Yarrowia lipolytica: one gene and its partners. The protein of the gene in region 3 purifies or fractionates together with the protein of the main gene of each other region. This does not show direct contact. Links are inferred from orthologs where the notes say so. Each region holds a gene or a part of one and is shown on either strand. Other genes may lie near its edges.

Region 1 (4,725 bases), on a different chromosome or scaffold from region 3:
AGACTCTATTGAGCAGGCTTTTGATATCACAGGTCTGGAGCTGTCCATGGGCATGTCTTCTGACTTTGAGGAAGCCATCAAGCAGGGATCCACCAATGTGAGAATTGGATCGACCATTTTCGGAGGACGAATGACCAAGGAGGAAGCCAAGACTGCATGAACTTAGCGAACGCTCTCACCCCGCCCAGCAAACCTGCTGATAGGATCTGGGCTTAAACAATTGATTTTGCGGTGCACAAGTAAAGTTGTATATAGATCAATTGATTGAATAGACCATTTGATATCGAGTGTGACTCTTTATACATATCTGTCGATTGAATGTCTATAGATGTTCTATACACTACGTGTTTGAAGCTGCTGATGAAGTCACACATCTTATCATCGAATGTAATACAATATCCAAAAATGTAATGCAACCCACCTGTATTACTGTCATATCACTATCGTATCATAATTATCTATAATGCATCGTCTTCCCAAGTCATTTCCCTAGTCGTGCCGTCATCCGCTTAAATAATATCGCCGTAGGTTCCGCCGTAGTTGTCGTTGGTGGACCGGGCGTTTCGGGCCTTGACCTTCTTGCCCTTGAAATGCTTCTTGGTGCCCTGAGCAGCACCTCGCTGGTGGAAGGGGGTGCTCATGTTGCCTCCTGATGAGTTCTTTCCAAAGTAGTCAGCGTCCAGATGCTCGCCGAGAGAAGAAAATCCTTTACCACCGAAACCACCGGCTCCAGTGGCATGCTGGGAGAAAGACAGTTTGTCAATGTCTCGCTCAAGGTCAAAATCCTCTCGAGCAATGCCAGAGTGAACAGCAGCATCAAGCAGCTGCTTCTGACGCGAGGGAGGCAGCTGGTTGAGGGTGTACAGACCCTTGTTGAAGAGAATACCGGCATCTTCGTCATCCAGATCCTCTCTGTAGTCGGGAGGAGGATGACAGTAGAGCAGCTTTCCGTTAACGTAGTCCTTGAGCACGTATCGAGCAGCTCGCGACTCGTCGGGATTACCCTGAGAGGCTCCACGCATGTATCCTCGTGCCTTGGCGTAGGCCACAAGGAATTCTGTGGCTGTGGGATATCCGAGACCGCCCTCATCGACCGGACGAGTGTAGATCTTGATACCGTAGACGGACTCGAGGAAGTACTTGGGCACTCGTCGAGACACGAGGGTCGCGGGACCGGTGAACTCACGCAGCTGGTCGATGGGAAGCACACCGTTACACACCAGTTCTCCGTTGGTGTTACCGAAGTTGGGGAACACCAGACCGGGACAATCACACAGCATCACCTTGGGTGACAGCAGGATAGTTTGGAAGTGCTTGGTCTTTCCAGGGGTGGCAGAAACAGACACCTTGTTGGAGCCCACCAGGGCGTTGATGGTAGAAGACTTACCAACGTTAGGGTAACCGACCAGACCAATGTTCAGGCGGGGTTCCTGGCCAGCGGGAGCGGGCTGCATGGGAGCAGGAGCCTCGGCGAGGAACAGCTGCTCGAGCTGGTCCACAGACAGGATAGATGTGGGGGTGGCCATGACGGAATAGTGCATGTTCTCTGTGTCAGGCTTGGACTCGTCGGTAGCCTTGGCCTCCTCATGGGCGTTAGCAGGAACGGCCTCCTGGATCTCGGTGACAGAAGGCTCAACGTCGTCTTCCTCGTCTTCTTCGTCTTCCTCCTCATCCTCATCCTCAGACTCCTCCTTAGGGACAAACTGTGCAAGTTCTCGCTCGAGAGCCGACACCTCGTCGTCGGAATCGTCATTCTTGACGGGCTTCTTGGCGGGCTTCTTGGTAGCCTGAGCCTCTTCTCGGGCCTCCAGAGCCTCCAGCTCCTCCTTGGCCTTGGCAGCAGAGAAGAAGGCGTATCGAATTCCGTGTTTCTTGAAATAGTCGGCCCAGATCTGTCGCTGCTCCTCGGTCATCAGGTCAGCCTTGTTAACCAGCAGCAGGTTTCGCTTACGGGGGTCAATCTCCTTGACATACAACTCCAGATCCTCGGATCGGAACTGCAGAGGGTTTCGCCCATCGACAATCTGCACAACCAGATCGGATCGCTCGCACACTCGCCACAGCTGGCGCCACACCTCAATGTTTCGCTCGAATGGCGTCAGAAGCAGATCCTGGTTCTCCTGCAGCTCCGCCAGACTTCGTCGCCATCGCAGAAACGCCTCCTTCTCCTCTCGATCGAGCTGGGTGGAGGTGGTATCTTCAGTCCAAACAGGTCGTCGGGGAACAGTCAGCTTGCCGGCGTTCTCCAGCTGCTTCTCACGCAGCTTCTCGGCCTCAGCCTTGGTCAAAAGGTAAGGGTTGGAGTTGTCATGGGTGTTGATAATGGTGGTGTGGGCTCGTCGCTCAGCGGTGAAATCAGTGTCAGCCAGCTCGGCGGTGGCCAGAAACTCGTCCAGAGCCTTCTCTTGGGTGACGGATCGCAGCTTGACCCACCCGGCCTCCTTGTTCTCCTCGGTTGTGTATCGGGTCTCTCCAGAATCGGTCACGTAGACTCGTCCTTCCTTGGCCTTTCGGTTCATCAGAGTCTTTCCGAGTCCCGTGTTGTTGGGGGTCTTCTTTTTGTGGTACTGCGGCTTGGGTCCCGAGGGGGGACCCTTGGGCTTGACCACATCGGAATGCAACGGTGTTTTGTTCATGTTCAGATAATATAAATTTCGTGTAGTGGGGGATGAGGTCGTAGGACCCCAGCACCTTAGATATGATGCAGAAATAATTTTTAAGGTTGAGTTTCAACCTGCACGGTCACGTGATGTGCAAGTGTGACACGATACAACTGAGCAACAGGAAAAAAGGGGGGTTTGGGAGCAATTCGTTGAGAGAAAGCGGGAATCGATAATACAGTGAAATATGAGTCCGAGGGAGGTATTTTGAAGGTTCTATAGTGTATGAATGACTCATTGAAGCCAGTGTTTCTCACTTGGTTTAGATCATATCAGTGAACTTTATTTGTTACTGTGGCAACATAGAACCGGTTGGAAGACTGGCGGTTGGGGAGTAGAATTGCGAGTAAACGTGGTGGTTGCGTGAAATTGGTGGAGCGGGATATTTGCGTGGTTTGTAATATTTTGGTTGTTTGGGATTTTGATTAATAATGCTTCTTTGTCCAACTCTTGGTCGTTAGACGATGGTGCCTTAGTGCTTGTAGGCAGATTCAGGCAGGGCCAAGTACAGTATGCACAAGTACACCAAGTACAGTATGCACAAGTACACCAAGTACAGTACAAGACGACCAAGTAAAAGTACCTGTATGAACAAGTAAGAGATGGGATGAAATCGACATTTAATGAGAGGAACTCGTGTCATTCACATGCTTCATTTGGTTTGCAAAAGTGGCATATCACAAGGTCGGTGATCTCCCACCCCTAGTGGGTCCTTAAAAACAGGCTGATCATGATGAGTATTCAGAAGAGGAAAAGATGAACAGTCTCATGATCTTTTGACAGAGAAGGAAAGCCAGGAGCCTGTGCTTTTACAATTACAATGTACTTGTACTAGTACTAGTGGAAGCATACATTTGCGATCTTAGTCAACAACTTTCTCTAATGGCTTGCACCACTCACCTATTTTTTATTTTATTTTATTTTATAATAACATAATTTTTCAGCCGAAGCTTGACTTGTTAAAAGTAAGTGTCATACTTCGCTCTGTATAACTAGGGTGAAGGAACTCACTGTGTAGTGTACTTCAGTATATACAGACTACAGTACATACTGTATGTACATATACTAAAAAACCATTGTGGACATCTACTACGACAACTGGTGACAATTTTTCTATATTCCTTGAATCAAACTGTTCGCCTCTTCAGGTATCATATCAACTCCATGCTGCTGTCGATACTTGTTCTCCAAGTACTGCTTTGTATACCTCCACACAGCAACAGAACCGTTGGATAAGCCCACAACCGTGAGATAAACATCTATCGGGGAAGTGTGTTCCCGCGCAATGTCCGAGACGTCGGTCAACTGTTTCAGTCTGTGAGTCTTCAAGTCGACGAGGGCAGTAACCAAACCGTTGTGATTATAAATCAAGGCATAGTGGCGATACCTACTGTCTTGTTCCACCCTATGATGCCTACTTAGATCCCACTCCTTTGGAAGCACTTCTGTGGACTTTGAGCTTTGCACAATTGGTCTCCAATGACTGTCGATGATCACATCAAACACATGTCCATCGTAAAACAAGAGCCCGGCTGGAGCTCTCAACAATAAACAACCTCTCTCAGCTTGGACCGTGGCTTTTTTAGGGCTCACGATACTCGAATATCGCGCTTCGCCCCCTACAAAAGCCACAATAGCTGTCTTTCCCACAACCTGTAACTTGAAGGACATCTTTCCGGGCAAATGACATCCGAAAGCGGGAAGAGGAGTCTCCGAGGCGCTCAGATCTTTCATATTTATGATCAATTCTCCATCATTGTTGCTGAAAACCGCTGTCATGACTTCTGGCGTGCATTTCTCAGTGATTATCTTTCCTCGCACCCTCATCATGTGTTTGTCATAGATGACAGCATCCTGAAAGCTGGAAACGTGAGATTTTTTAGGCAGAGAAGAGGTGCTGGGAGTCTCCGGAGACTCGGTAAAATCCAGAAACCTGTTGCCAATGAACACCCCTCTGTCATTGTAAACAAACGGTCCGTTAAGAACCCTGTCTTTACAGAGACAGTCAAAATCGGAAGGAAGAGACTGATTGATGAAAACTGGACAGCCCAGAGTCGGTTCAAAC
Region 2 (2,716 bases), on a different chromosome or scaffold from region 3:
CGAATGTCTCTAGCAAAAGTTATAGACACATGGAAAAAAACGCTCAACATACACAACTTTGCACGGTAGATGTGCTACAGAGCACTCAGAATGATGAATGAAGTTGGAATGGGCTCTTCAGGTCCTGATTACCACCATCTGAGAAACCACCTATAGGTATTCGGCTTTCTGTGAGTTCGCTATCGTTACAAAACTCACTATCTGGTGTCCATCTGCTGCCAATAGCACTCTGTCCGAGGCTCATCGTAATCAATAATATATTGTCTATCATGGCCTATCCATTTCTGTTAATAATGCTATTGTCATAATCCATTTGATCCAGCAGTGAGTGATTTCTAAGTCCCATGCTACATCCCTCGGTCCAGAGAGATGGAATTGAGTAATTTGTGAATGAATGATTAGTGAATGCCGTGAAAAATGGCTGAATGACTGAGTTGTTTCGAATGACTAGCATCCAACGAACATCACAAATCCTCGCAGGCTCAGATTCCTGTGATTTTCTAAGCCTCCTAAGCCATATCCTCATCCTTGGTCTCGGGAATCACCCCTTTGTCCTCCTCCTCGGCCTCCTTTTCTCGGGCGATTCGCAACGCCTCCTGCTCACGAGCAAAACTGCTTGCCGCCTTGGCCTGCTCCACCTCCTCAAGACTGCCACGATCTGTCAACATGGTGGTCACCTCCTCCTCATCCAGACGCTTCTTATCAACATCATTTCGAGCCAGGTATCGCGCCACATTGTTTCCAGCAGCCATATTGGCCTCCTCCTGGGTGTATGGCACCTCGCGGATCTCCTTGAGCCGTCGTTTGTGCACCTTGCCCCGGATGTGTGTCTGTTTGGCAAACTCGGTTTCGAAATACCGAGCGCACGGAATACAGTAGAACTGCGCCAGTCCGGGCTTCTCCTCGTCGTACTCCTGGTTGTGCAGAGCCTTGATCGACTGCGACGTGTTCATGTCGTCCCGCAGAATCTGGTCCAGATCTCGGGTTCGACGTTTCGTCTTGTACATCATTCGCGATGGTCTTCCCATGGTTGTTTCTTGCTTTTTGTGTCACTAGAGTCGCTTGCGGTGTGGTGCGAGAGTGTCGATATTTCCGTATGCACGTTTACAGATTTTTTCTACTTAGAGTTTGGAGTTTAATAAAATGGAAAATGTTTAAATAAAATAGATTTTTTTGGAAAATGTTAAAATATTTTTTGGAAAATGGATTTTTTTGACAAAATTGAGAAAATCGAGAAAATAGCCAATTTGAATAATTGGACGACTTGAGGGACGGTATATGACGGTTTGGGCCATTATGTGTGCACCTGCGGTTTCAGTTTTTCAATAAGGACACTGGTTGAGCTGGGATGAGCACTACAAGTACAAGTACGAGTACACGCCTGGTTAACCGGGTTCAATGAGATGAATATAAAAGATAGGGAGTTTCAGAAAAGTGCATTTTGTTCTCAATAACGACTTTACTTTGTTGTCCATTCTTCGTTTCGACACTGTTTTATGGCGTCCATTGGAACGTCCTTTTTACACGCACCAGACACAAGGCACCAGGCTCAATACCACAAGTACGAATACGATACAAGTACGAACTATACAAGTTTGTGGTGTTTGAATTATTCATCCTCTTTTCATTGATCTATTACATCTTTTACCTCTGTATAGATGGTCTTGATTGTTTTTACTATGTTGATCATTGGAGATTTCCTCGCAAACCCCCCACGAGCTTCTCAGCCAGATTCTGGTCCACCTGAGTATCGTAGTCACGAAAGGGATCAAGAGATTGTTGTCTGATTGGATGACCGTTATTGCGACTCCAACAAGTATTACGAGAAGTCTGCGGTCTTGTTCTGTTCATGGTCCCATTCTGGTCAGAGTCAACAGACGAGATCGGATTGCTCTGACACCACTAGAGATGGCAGGGGTGAGAAAAAAACGAGTTTGGCAATGACCGATAGATTACTAGTTTGGTTTACTCTTGCCTCGGTAGATTCGTACATTGGCCATAAGCCCCTTGGATGGAACAAGTACCAGCGGCTACTACAATCTCACATACTCCATTGCACGGAGGCCCATTGTGAACCCATTGTGAGAAAGAGCTGTTCAGAGTGGGCAGCACAAATCACCAGAGTCGTGCCAACATCTCTGTAGTTGATCCAGGGCCCTTGGAGGGTGTGTCTGTCCCTGGTAACATCAATGGAGCGATAGTTGAGTAGCCAATCTCCAGTAGCTCAGATAACGCTATGTATACTGAGTAAATGAATTGCATGTATGAGTTCGATGGACCTCATTGACGCCATTTCTGTCTGGTTTCGCAGCTCTGGGGTATTCGCAACGGGAGCCCTACTGGTCACTTGCCTCGATCTCTGCCTCGATCTCTGCCGTGACCATTCATAAATGGTGTCTCAATGGGTATGTTGGAGTCATATCGCACTCCTACTCGGGCTGATACGATCGTCTTTTTGATCAAATGTTTAGACAAGACGAGCATCCAAACCCGCCATCAGATCCTTCTCAACTACAATGCGGGAAGAAGGACCTACATAATGATACAATGAATCGAATCCCTCTTGTTCAGATCGACGATGAAAAAAAAAAAAAAAAAAAAAAAAACTATTATATAATATGGAAGCTCGGCAATTAACTGATTGACGGTCAACTCGACCATGCGCTTCCACAATTTCTGCTTGTGACAACTGCTGTTGGTGATTATGAAACTCGCC
Region 3 (3,967 bases):
GTCAGCCCCTAGTTGTCGCAGCAGGTCCATTTTCTTGGATGAAGCCGTGGTGATGACTTTGGCTCCATACACGTTCTTTGCCAGCTGAATCGCAAAGGTGCCGATACCTCCGGAGCCCTTGGAGATGAAGATGGTTTGGTCCCTTTGCAGATTGCCAGCTTCAAACGCTTGCATGGAGGTCAGACCTACCAAGGGGATGCCTGCAGCATCTTGGAGAGAAATGTTTGATGGGGCTCTGGCCACGAGTGAGGACTTGACGCTCACAAACTCGGCCATGGTGCCGTCCTGACGCTCGCCAATCCGGCTGTAGACTCTATCGCCTGCCTTGAACTCATCCACCCCAAGTCCCACCTCCTCCACCACCCCAGATACATCGTAGCCAAAGATATGAGGGTGTTTGTCAGGTGCCAACATCTTCAGAAAGCCACGGTTTCTCATGCCATCAATGGGATTGAGCGACGCAGCAGCCACCCGGATCAGAACATGATCGTCGGCAATCAGAGTCGTCTTGGGATGGTCCTCGGAGTACTGGATCTTGTCCGGGCCTCCATACCCTGTGGTGTAAGCTGCTTTCATGGTGTATTGAAAGCGATCGATCAAGGCCCCTGTGACATGTCCGTGTGCGTGTTTATATATCCATGTTTGAGTACTTGGACCGGCCTCTCCTTGTCCATTGTTATTACATGCTATAGATGACACTAGCCGCACTCTACTGTGAGCACACGAGCAAAGCGACCAAGAAGCGGTAGTACAAGTCATGGAAGCGCAGGAGGATGCTACAATCACAACATGGATATTGTGTTTGTGTTAAATTGCTTCTACAGATTGTCTGGGTCACTGACAGCTGGTTCATTACTTCCAGTATGGCCCAAGATGAACAACTATACACATCCACCCCACATTTGTCACCAGTTAGTAACGCACTAGTGAGACGCATAGATTTGCCACCGAACATGTCACTGCGAGATCCTGTCAGAGGGGAAAGCGCGTATCCCACCCACATGTCATTTGAACTACACCCACAGAAGCAAATTAGGGCATGTATTCCCCACACCTCACGGTATGTACACTCGCAACCACTAACTCATGATACTTGCATCTCAATACAACGTTAGTTGTGGAGATGGTTAACACCATGAGTGGATTCAGAAGGATCTCCTTACCTTTCAATCCAGCTTACCTCCCTTTTGATCCTTACCAGCAGTCTGCCGCTAATTTTTGCGTCCCCAAACAGCCCCCTTGGCATGGGTATCGTACTTGTCCATCTTCTGGTTCGCCAAGAGCCTGTCTCACTGAAGGGTTGACAGATTATTGGTCATCGTGAGGACGGTTGAAACACAAGTGGGTACGTACTTGTATAATCCAGCTTTTGGGTTGCTTGTCGCCCAGATCACACCCCCAATTCAGAGTGTGTAAACCAAACAAGTTTATGATATACTCTGGTCACATTGAACTCATAAAGTGTTCCTTTTCACAGGCGTGACAAAGACTTCCACAAGAAAACATGGCTCAAAGACACAAGCACAAGTGCAAGTAAACGATGTTTCATGTCATATATACATGCAGCACTTGTAATGCTCATACAAATACAATACCACTCAAGATCTATCTCTCCTCTCCACACAGTCCCTCGCCTAAACGATGCATTCATGAGTCAGCTTTGTCAACACGACGATCTTGTATTTCTCAAGAATTTCTCCTATTTTACTACTTAAAGTAAATGATACTGCTCAAAACAGCGCAAAAATACCGTTCCAACAATTCAATTGATTTTATCCAATTTATCGCAAGTTTCCACAAATGTCCCACACTTTCACGCCTCAACCGCTATCTGACATAACTGCCCGAAGCTTATATGAAAATTTCCTGAACCTAATAAAAATCTACAGCATCTTTCTCTACACACACACAACTAACCAGACATAGACACACAAACACCATGTCCGTGTCAGCTTTCAAGGCCACCGTGCTGTGCCACAACTGTGGTACCCCGCTTGATGGTACCCTCACCAATGGAACCCCCATTTGCAACCAGTGTATCGAAATGACGACCGACATCACCAAGGAGATTCCTCGAGAGGCTTCCCTCACCTTTTGCAGAAACTGCGACAGATGGCTGCAGCCTCCCTCATCATGGACCGCTGCCCAGCCCGAGTCCCGAGAGCTGCTGGCTCTTTGTCTCAAGCGACTCAAGGGTCTGTCCAAGGTGCGTCTTGTGGACGCCTCCTTCATCTGGACCGAGCCCCACTCCCGACGTATCCGAATCAAGGTCACCGTCCAGGGCGAGGCTGTGGGCCAGACCATCATCCAGCAGAGCTTCGAGGTCGAGTACATTGTGATCGCCACACAGTGTCCCGACTGTGCCAAATCCTTCACTGCCAACACCTGGAGAGCTAGTGTGCAGATCCGACAGAAGGTGCCCCACAAGAAGACCTTCCTGTATCTGGAGCAGCTGATTCTGCGCCACAACGCACACCTGGACACCATCTCCATCCAGGAGAGCCGCGACGGTCTGGACTTCTTTTACTCGCAGCGAAACCACGCGCTCAAGATGCTCGACTTTCTGGCGTCCGTCACCCCCTGCAGACACAAGCGGTCCGAAGAGCTCATTTCAATGGATACCCATACCGCCAAGAAGCAGTACAAGTTTTCTTACTCGGTCGAAATCGCACCCATCTGTCGAGACGACCTCGTGGTTTTGCCTCCCAGCATTGCCAAGTCCAACGCCAACATTTCTCCTCTGGTTCTGTGTACCAAGGTGACCAACACCCTGCACTTTGTTGACCCCAATACCCTCCAGACTGCCGAGATTCCTGGCTCTGTTTACTGGAGAAAGCAGTTCCCTTCTCTGGCCGATGCTTCTCGTCTGCAGGAGTTTATTGTGCTCGATATTGAGCCTCTGGGACCCGTCAAGGGCAAGTTTGCCCTTGCTGACGCCACTGTGGCTCGAGTCGGCGACATGGGCCGAAACGACACCACCTACAACATCCGAACGCATCTCGGAGGTGTCCTGCATCCCGGAGACTCTGCCTATGGCTACTACATGGTCACGTCCAACTTCAACAATGCCTACTGGGATGAGCTGGACAAGGATAATCTGCCCGACGTGATTCTAGTCAAGAAGCACTACCCTGGCCGACGAAAGAAGCGAAACCGACACTGGAAGCTTAAGCGAATGGCACTTGAACACAACCTAGAGGACGACCCCAAGGTCACCAAAACCGATCTGGACAAGGCTGAGCAGGACTACGAGCAGTTCCTGCAGGAGCTCGAGGAAGACACCGAGCTGCGAGGCACCGTCAACCTTTATAAGCGAACCGTTCCCCAGATGCCTGCTCTTCCCAAGACTGGTGATGAGATGGAGGCCAGCGAGGAGGAGGGCGAGGGAGTTCCTGAGATTGGTGTTGACGAGCTTCTCGACGACCTGGAGGACATGAGCCTGGGCCAGGATGAATAGATGTACCACGAGCGAACCAGTAACGACAAACAGTAACCAAAAGTCAATGGTCAATGGGGATATTTAGATGAATGCATTAATAGATTGGATGTGGAACATAAAACGAAAAGTAGAGCAATAAGGGCATAAACAGCTAGATTCCTCTTTCCCAGGTTACAAGATAGCCCTATTGAACCAGATTTCCTTATTATTTGTTTTTATTCTAATGATTCATTTTTTTATTTAATCACGTGACGTCCATAGCCGTGTTACTAGGTTCAATCACATTTATCGCCAGTTGCGGCCATATCCCTTGGTGAAAAATACGGCTTTCCCCGTCCGATCAAGCCATAGTCCAAGCAACCAGAGAGCCCTAGTTATGTATTGTAGTGGGGAGGACCATACGAGAATCCTAGGTGCTGCAATTAAACCATTTTTTTTTTGCTCTTGCCTCTTCGGCTTTCTATGTTATGTCTCCAACCTGCTTACTCAAGAACCAAGACAGCGTTTTACACACAGTTTGAGTAATGT

Evidence for each region.
Region 1: the proteins of YALI1_F11493g (region 3) and YALI1_C30287g purify together in Saccharomyces cerevisiae (affinity purification with western blotting; 18 studies listed by BioGRID, with this or other methods). This does not show direct contact. The link is inferred for Yarrowia lipolytica from reciprocal best matches to the Saccharomyces cerevisiae genes NMD3 and LSG1.
Region 2: the proteins of YALI1_F11493g (region 3) and YALI1_D16206g purify together in Saccharomyces cerevisiae (affinity purification with mass spectrometry; 7 studies listed by BioGRID, with this or other methods). This does not show direct contact. The link is inferred for Yarrowia lipolytica from reciprocal best matches to the Saccharomyces cerevisiae genes NMD3 and BUD20.

What each region holds. Positions count from the first base shown.
Region 1 is NC_090772.1:3,026,122-3,030,846, forward strand, and holds YALI1_C30287g (uncharacterized protein), read right to left. Parts: upstream 2,637-4,725; coding exon 510-2,636; downstream 1-509. Other genes in the region: YALI1_C30255g (uncharacterized protein), read left to right, coding at 1-160; YALI1_C30310g (uncharacterized protein), read right to left, coding at 3,774-4,725. UniProt on the Saccharomyces cerevisiae protein: GTPase required for the nuclear export of the 60S ribosomal subunit. Acts by mediating the release of NMD3 from the 60S ribosomal subunit after export into the cytoplasm.
Region 2 is NC_090773.1:1,619,622-1,622,337, forward strand, and holds YALI1_D16206g (uncharacterized protein), read right to left. Parts: upstream 1,029-2,716; coding exon 510-1,028; downstream 1-509. UniProt on the Saccharomyces cerevisiae protein: Involved in pre-60S ribosomal particles maturation by promoting the nuclear export of the 60S ribosome. Involved in positioning the proximal bud pole signal.
Region 3 is NC_090775.1:1,147,386-1,151,352, forward strand, and holds YALI1_F11493g (60S ribosomal export protein NMD3), read left to right. Parts: upstream 1-1,939; coding exon 1,940-3,457; downstream 3,458-3,967. Other genes in the region: YALI1_F11481g (uncharacterized protein), read right to left, coding at 1-759. UniProt on the Saccharomyces cerevisiae protein: Acts as an adapter for the XPO1/CRM1-mediated export of the 60S ribosomal subunit. Unlikely to play a significant role in nonsense-mediated mRNA decay (NMD).